2 linked regions of the Drosophila melanogaster genome follow. The protein of the gene in region 2 interacts with the protein of the main gene of each other region in a pairwise test. Each region holds a gene or a part of one and is shown on either strand. Other genes may lie near its edges.

Evidence for each region. The genes of interacting proteins can lie anywhere in the genome.
Region 1: the proteins of RNF220 (region 2) and CG13001 interact in a two-hybrid assay, tested with the Drosophila melanogaster proteins (2 studies listed by BioGRID).

Annotation. Positions count from the first base shown.
Region 1 is NC_004354.4:16,940,571-16,945,240, forward strand, and holds CG13001 (uncharacterized protein), read right to left. Parts: upstream 2,302-4,670; 5' UTR 2,013-2,301; coding exon 1,005-2,012; 3' UTR 516-1,004; downstream 1-515.
Region 2 is NT_033777.3:22,724,360-22,728,423, reverse strand, and holds RNF220 (ring finger protein 220), read left to right. Parts: upstream 1-2,009; 5' UTR 2,010-2,154; coding exon 2,155-3,351; 3' UTR 3,352-3,540; downstream 3,541-4,064. Other genes in the region: CG45049 (uncharacterized protein), read right to left, coding at 933-1,117; Irp-1A (iron regulatory protein 1A), read left to right, coding at 3,900-3,912, 3,973-4,064.

The sequences.
Region 1 (4,670 bases), on a different chromosome or scaffold from region 2:
TGTGCGAAGAATTGGAGAAAGAGAGGCGGAGAAAGACGCGGCGCAGAACTTTCTCTTTTCACAAATTCTACGCACGCAGCGACAACAAGAACAAAAACGACAAACTGATCCACAAAAACAAAAAAAAAAAAGAAAACCAAGTGCACTGATGCGTTCAATTTGAACTGGTTGTTGCTATGTTTCACTAAAATTGCAATTGAAACAATTTGAAACAATACGAATTTGTTGTTTTGCGGGCTGGATTAAAAAATTGAATAAAAATCCGAACTTTTTGCTCGGCTTAAGCTAGGTGTGACCAAGTGCAGGGACAGGCCAAAATACCATGGATCTAAATTTTAGTACGTTGTATATCTACAATACTCTTTAGTTCACAAACGATGTATGGCAAATGTAAAATGTATAAAATATAATGCAAGTATATAAACATCAGTTATAGTTATTGTATTAAAATACACACATATAAAATCAAATCCAATAATCCAAATAATTTAATCTATAACCAAAAGAACCCATTTAAAAATGAAATATTTTTATTGATATTTGTGTTTTTTTTTTGCTGCTTAAATATAACATAGTTGCATATTTAGCATGGCTTACATGTATAAACAAAATTTTTGTTCTCGATAATTTGACACGTTATTTGAGCTTTTAAAAAATACTTAGCCTATGATTATAGTTAAAATAAAAATCAAATTCATTGAGTTTACCAACTAAAATTGTTATGAGAATTTGTTAGCGGCCGGCGTGTCATGAATAATTTCTTCATCGATTTTCAAATACACTAGTAATGTATAAAATATTAATGCAAGTATTTGACATTCTTTTAAATCTTCTCCGATAATCATGAGCACACCCGCCTTGCGTCGTTGTAATACTTTTCATTGGGATTAATAATAAATAGATGAGGCAAAAAAAAAAAAACGCATTCGATTTAGTGCGCTGAGTTTCCGGAACCAGCTCCGGACTTAAGATGAGTGTAGTTGCTGGTCTGGAGCGGTGGCCACTTAGTTGTTCTTCTTCTTGGGCTTCTTCGGATTGCGGGAGCGCGACTTGGCCTTGCAGAGCGGACAGATGGGCGCGTTCCGGTGGATCTGCTGGTGGCAGGACAGACAGGACTTCATGGGCGGCGGCTGCTGGCGGAGATTCACATTGAAGTCGGAGCGGAACGAGGGATGGTGGCCGATGCCGATCGAAGGCGATTGCTGCAGTCGATTGCTGGGCGGCGGCGGTGGCGGTGGTGCTGAGAAGTCACCCTTGCCCAGACGCACTGCAGCAGCAGCGGCGGCGGCAGCAGCACTGCCTGCTCCCGGCGGTGCGGGTGGCATGAAGGCGTGTCCAGGATTGCCGCCACCACCGCCTCCGCCGCCCACAGATCCTCCGCCACCGCCTGCAGCGCCGCCACCACCAACGCCGCCCTGTCCGCCGCCAGAAGGCAGCGCGGTGACCGTGGCCTCCGGCATCAGAGGATGCCGGGCATGCGGACGGGCCAACGACGAGTTCTGATTAACCGAGGCCGCCGCCGCAGCTGCAGCAGCTGCTGCTGCCGCCGACTGGGCGGCCACCTTAAGGAAGTTGGTCTGGAAGCGATCCTTCGAAATGGGACTGCCCTCCTCCTCGTGCAGATCTCGCAGCGGGCTTAGTCCGAGATAGTCGCGGCGCATGTGATCAATCTGGTACTTCAGGGCCAGGTACTCCTCGTACACCCGGTTGGCCATGTCGAAGGAGCGGGTCTGGTTCTCCTTCGTCTGCTTGATGATGTTCTCCATGTCGTTGATGTCCGCGTGGATCTGGCGCAGCTCTTCCACGTGCGACATCTTCTCCTCGAGCAGGTGCTCCATCTCCTTGCGGTACTCCTCCAGGCACTTCTCCTCGTCGTCGCTCAGCTTCACCTCCTTGATGATCCGCACTTTGAGCTTCTCCAGCGACAGCGTCTTGTCCCTGATGTCCTTGATGGCCTCCAGTTTGGCGTAGTAGTGCCGCTCATTGGAGCTCGAGATCTCGCTGGTGGCCATTGTAGATCCAAAACGATCCGTGTGGTATAATATGTGTATTTTCGAAAGACTCTCGAGTGTTTTCTGTATGGCCCCCTCCACTGGGCGAATGTTTATTTTGCACTTTTTCACTAGCCTAATAGTTCGATGTCGGATTTTCCGGCCGATTCTTAAGCATCTGATATGGATGATCGCGTCTTTTGGGATAATCCTTTGGAATGGCGCACTTTTAATTGATTTTTTCTTTATTTATTTGATTTTTTCTCTGCTAATGCTAATACCATTTTTTTCTGGTATACAATGCAGTGTTACCAGAGCGTGGAAGTAATTTTTACATTTAATCACGACCAGCCGATTATTTGCTATCGATAGCTGGCAGTGCGGTATATATCGTTTTTTAAATAGAAAACAAATTCCTTCCAATTCCAATTCCTTATACGTACAAATTTACTTAAATGATTACACTATAGTTAAAGTGCTTTACTGATTTTACCGTGGGCGCTGCTTTAAAATTTAAAAATCCGGTAAATTCCAGTTGCTGTGGCAAAAAACTTAAATCTGGCATTCATGCCGAGATAATATTCAGTTAACTATTGATATAAAATGTTTCAGTTATATGGAAAGAACGTTAGTATTAAAATTTACATTATTACATATAACTAAAATTAATAACTTGTATCCTAGCTACTAGTTTAGTAACTAGTTTTGCCGGCATTCGCTGTCTTTCCGCCAACGGTCACACTAGGCGCGCCCCGTTATATTACATTATGCATTTGTATTCTTCGATCGGTCGCAGATCGTTCGGATCGGAAAATCCGGTTCGGAAAGCGGGCATTGGGGACAAAAACAAAGAATCTTGTTCTGGTCATGACTTTTCCATCCGCGAATTGTCAACTTCTGTTTAGCGAATAGTTGTTGTTCCCTTTTGGAGACAACAACAAAAAAAGACATCGATCGCGCGAGAGAGAGAGACAGATGCAAACAATGCGTACGCGCGCGTATGTGTGTGTGAAACATTCCGCAAGTGATTCATTCCGCAAGAATAATAAATAAATAAACAAATATTAGTAAACTGGGCCGAAATGTTTGTGGAAATGTGTCAACTAGTTGCGGCAGTAAAATATCAGTGCAATATCGATATGTGTGGGAAATCAGCTTAGCAATTTAGCAGAGACTTTGCTTTTCGCCCACCGCTCTCTCCCTCTCTCTCACACTCTTTGTTTTCGTTTTTTATTGTTGTGCTCTGGTTGTGTTTGTGTGTGTTGTGAATATAAAACGAAGTTAAGTTGACCACGCAGAAACTGCATACGAAATTTTTAACAAGGAAAAAGCGAAAGGTAAAAGCGATTTTTATTATTTTTATTTGAAAGCCGCAGTTTCTTTGCGATCTCTTTTTCTGCGGGCTTCGATTTTCAATGGTCTCTTCTCTCTTCAATGCGTTCTAATCAATCCGTGTTTACATACGGGCTGTGTGTCTGTGTTAGTTGGCTGATAATTTTTAGTGACAGCTATGTGCCAAATAATAGTAATATCTACAATAAATCAAATATAAATAATGCGAAATACGGCAATATTGATAACATTGTGAATTTTAATCATTATACTTTGAAATGTTTAAAAACATTTCGTTAGTATATGTTTATATATTTGTATTATATTTTAATTTAGTGTTTTTGCCACCTATGCGTTTTATGCAATATAATGATATTTTTTCCTAAATTTATAAAACCACTATGGCTGTGTACACATTTGTATGTATGATAATTTTTGACACACATATATTTCGCTTCTAACTGCTTATCGCTCCCATTTAGCGATAGACTGTGCGAGCGGGACAGGTGTCACCTGTTGCGCTTCTTCGCTCCATCTCTCCACCGCTCTTCCCTCTCTCTCTCTCTCTTTCCATCGTTTGACACATTTTGTTGCTGTTCTTAATTGTTTGGCAATTAAGTCAATTATAAACATATTAAGACAGCCGACACACATTCTCCGATTGGATGCGCTTTTCCCTTTGACTTTCGCAGAAGAATCAATAACCAAATTAATCGATCAATCCAGGCGATAAGTCCGAAAATTGGGCTAAATAAATAAAAGCCTCTCAAGATCTTTTAGTTATGGTAATAAATAAAGTACACTATGCATAAGTTCGTTGGGGTACGTGAAATACAACAAACTCGTGAGTTGACAAATATTTGGATTTTTAGAGCCTAATGTATCTATGATCCGTAAACATTATGATTACTAAAAGATAATGTTAGCTGCTCACTCTATGTGCATTATATTTATATTAAATGGGAAGAGCTGTAATCTATCATCTCTTACTTATTTTAATAGCTTTTTCTTGTTTACAATTGGAACACATCAAGTGAACTAAAGGTTTGTCAAAACAATATGGTAAATGACCATAAATCTGTAACCCTTCAGTAGGTACACCTAAAGATTCTTATTTAAACGTATTTCGTTGGCAAAAAGAGTTACAGATGAACGGCATAGCTGCACGCTTAGTATTCTCCTCGCGATAGTCCAGGTAATCAAGTGTCTGGGATTTCCTTTACCCTCTAACGATCGCTTTGTGGATTCTTCTTTTTCTACCTGTCTTCTCGTTTCTCTGTGTATAAATCAAATCACAAATCGATGGCAACTTACATACGACAAAAAATGCTGTCAAACAACTTGGAA
Region 2 (4,064 bases):
GTATGTATGTTTTGTATTAACTGACGCAATTTACAAAACAATGCGTTGGTACAGTTGAATGAGTTTGGGATTGTTTAAATTGAAATCGCTCTATTGTGCCAGACAAAAACGCGACGGAATATTTCAGTCATCATTGGGGGGCGTATTTTGGCTCAATGACAAAAGACGGAAGCTGGGGTGATGAGGTGCAGTCCCCACATAAATTATGCTGCAAGGCGGACTGCAACTAAGCATTTTGAATGCTGGAAATACCGACATGCTAATTATCCATTCGCATTCCATTGTTATACCCTAACTGAGAGTACAATAGAATAGGTCAGACTTGTGACAATTTATGTACGTTTGTAAAAAAAATATCAGCATCTTGAAATGAAATTTTGAACAAATATTATAAAACAGAGTCTTCTTATTATCGATCTTGCTCAATAGTTGCTAACAAATAGGAAGTGTATCAAAATTTCGTTAAAACTGCATATTATGCCTAATTCGCACGATTCCCTGCCAATTTTAATATCTTCAGATACGCAAACAAAGATGCATATGTTTGTGTAAGTAGATGTTGCGTCTAATGTATCTCAAGATATTTCGACGGGCTAGACGGAGATAAATATAGTTTTACATATAGCGGCTAGAAATGTGGAATAAAAACAAAAACACATTTCGCAGATGAGCGAGTACCGACTTTGTGTGTGTGAGTGTGTGTGTGTGAATGAGTGGCATGGCAACAGGATCATAACGGTTAATTGCTATATAGAACGTAACGGTAACGGCAGGCAAAATTGGGGCAAACGGCCAAATGCAAAACAACAACAATGGCAAGGGCGAGGGAATTCGTATACACGTATGTTTATATATGTGTGTGTGTGTGTTGTGTGCTATGCGGAAGAACGGAAGCAAAACAAAATGCGATCTGTTTGAGTTCAGGAATATACCTTTCCTTGTAATAGTCCAGGGTTACCGATTCGGAATCAAATTCTGAATAATCTGGCAGCGATTCGGCATCAAAGGAGCTCATTCCGCTGAGCGTGTAATTGGGCAAGACGTTCATTTTGTTGTTGTAGCCAACAAGGTTACCCTGCTGCTGTTGTTGTTGCTGCTGCTGGTACTGCTGATGCATAGTTGTTGCTGTTTTTTCTACGTTTATTTTACTATATTTGCCTTATTTAACAATATGGCACACGCACACACACTCACGCCCAGGAGAAACTGGCTGCTATATTTTTTCTCTATTCTCTTTTCGCTGCCTTTTCACACTCTCGCCGTCTGCTTTGCACTTTCGCAAAAATATGCGTCGGTTTTGGGTTCAACCTGTATGCACTTACACTCTGCTTGAAAAGCTCTGTCGCTTTTCCACTTTCACATGTTCCTCGACCACTGACTTTTCTATATAATCAAAAAATAAAAACGACGAAAATAATAATGTTTTGCTTCCCTCATAGAGCTGGAACTTAAATCGATGTTGTCTCGATACTATCGTTTTGGCTGGGCATTTCTCGATAGCGATAAAGTGCCATGGAACTATCAGTTAATTTACATTTACCGTCAAATTATTTAATTTAACGAAGAAAGGAAATTAAAATAGCTTACATTTCGGATGTTTAAACTTTTATCAAAGCGGGGGCTGTGCTTTATAAAAATTTCCTAACAGTGAGGGAGAGACACTATCTGTCACATGTTATATCGGGCATGTAAACAACGCAATCTGATAATATATATATATTGCTGTATTAAGACCAACCAGAGTAGAGTAAAAATTAAGAAATCAGTACGTTTAATTATTTTATTGTAAGACTTAAGGTCAAAAGAGTTGTTGGAATGCAAAATGCAAACTTTGAAGTTTTAATTAACACGGAATTCAAACAAATAATCAATTATTATAAAGATATTTTTAAGTGAATAAAATTTTAATTATTGCTTAAGCATATTAATCACTGTGCTTGGCGCTTTTGTAACGGTTTTACGATGTATATCGCAATGACCACTTCCACTGACACGAAAAATAACGAAATCAGTGTGACCGTTTTCCACCGTACGAGAACGTAAGAAATCGGCGTCGCGTGGCTTGGACAGAGATTATCGAACAAAACAAAATCCGACTACAGAATCTTTTAACTTCGTTTACCCTTAAGAGTCCGCGGTGGATCCGAGGAATCGATGGCTACGGACACGGTGTCCAACGGCGAGAACTTCGCCCAGCACTTGAGCAGAAACAGCGACGACGACGTGATCTGTCCCACATGCGACGTGAAGATCAAGCGCAGTCAGGTGGCCGATCACTGCCAAGTGGAGATGGAGCGATTGCACAATCCCATTAGCGCTGTCACTCCACCGACCCCAACTAGCGGAGCAACCGCGTCCGAGGAATCCGGTTCGGTATCGGGGGGCAGACAACCGTGGAGCGTGTTCCAGCGGGTGCAGCGCAATCGGCAGGCCCGTCAGCGCCAGCGCACCAGGAAGCGTCCGGCTTCTCCTGCCCCACCAGCAACTGTAAATCCTACGGTAGCAGCTGCTCCTCCTCCAGCTGCAGCAACTCCGTCCGTAGCTGCTGCCGAATCGAGCCAACCCACCTGTCCCGTGTGCAACCACAACTTTCCGCAGTCCAACATCCAAGAGCATGTTAATCATTGCCTGCGCCAGAGCCGCCGCAATGGTCAGGCCAATGGTGAGCGGCATTCGAGTGAGGACTCGGAGGACAGCGAGGAATATGAAGAGTACGAGTGGGCGGGACAGAAGCGCATTCGCGTCTCCACTCTCGTGCAAGGAGGCTATTCCGCCCTGGGCCTGGGCCAGAGAATCAAATACAATGGCAGTCAGCAGGCGCAGGACGACGAGGACGAAGATCTCAACGTGGACGAGGATGACACTCACATCTATGGTCCTACGCAGTATGGCGAGGGCGATGTGATCCCACTGGTCAACGAGGACACAGAGGGAAATGTTTCCGAGGCGGATGTTACCAGCTACGTGCGCCGACTTATCTCCTCCAGCGATGGGCCCAAGCCAAACCATTCCAGCGAAGCCACCGAGCAAGAGCCTGCCAGCACAAGCAACGTGGAGGCTCCACCAGCCAGCGAGGAGCCGTCTACGTCGCGGTCCACGCGATCCACCTCCCAAAACCAGCAGCAGATCATCGAATCGCTGAAGGCCAAGCTGCGGCTCTACGAAAAGCAGGCGCAGGGCAAGTACAAGTGCCTGATCTGCATCGACGACTACAAGAATCCCGCCATCTCCGTGTCCTGCTGGCACGTCCACTGCGAGCAGTGTTGGTTGCAGACGCTCGGCGCGCGAAAGCTGTGCCCGCAGTGCAACTCGATTACCACGCCGAAGGACCTGCGACGAATCTACCTGTAGACGTCCATCACAGACTTGTTATCCCCGCTGCCAAATTGCTTGCGCCATAAAACAGGCTTTGCATCCCGACGCAGCTTTAGATGATAATCCCCTATACATATTATTTATATAGATTACAAATACCAATTATACTACGTGACATTACAATAAGCCTACCATGTAACTATTGCAATAAACCGCAGAAAACATAATTAATATTTAAGTTTATTTAACGAAATTAGCATGTAGGAAGGGAAAAGCGTTTAAAGACATGCAAACAAGTTATTTTAAATACCTTATTTTGAACTAAAATAAAAAAGCAATCAATCCAATATTATATCCAATATTATTTTCGAATCACAAAAATGATAAATTATTCCACTATAATTTACAAATGTTTCATTTTAAGTAATAAATAAATATTTTTTACTGTGTACCGGTTTGTTTTCATGTTCAGTTATCGATAATATAATGTTTGCGTTAGTGATGAGCAAGTTTTGCCTGGTAGCGGTTCCTCACGCGCTCATCTCTATATCACATTGCTTGGTTTTCTGTTTAATTTTTCCACAATGTCCGGCTCCGGTGGGATTTAATTGGAAAAAGGAGTATTTGATCTGTACGCTAATCCTGTCTTCCTTGCAGGCGCCAATCCCTTTGCCCAGTTCCAGGAGTCATTCACCCAGGACGGCAACGTCTACAAGTATTTTGATCTGCCCTCCATCGACAGCAAATAT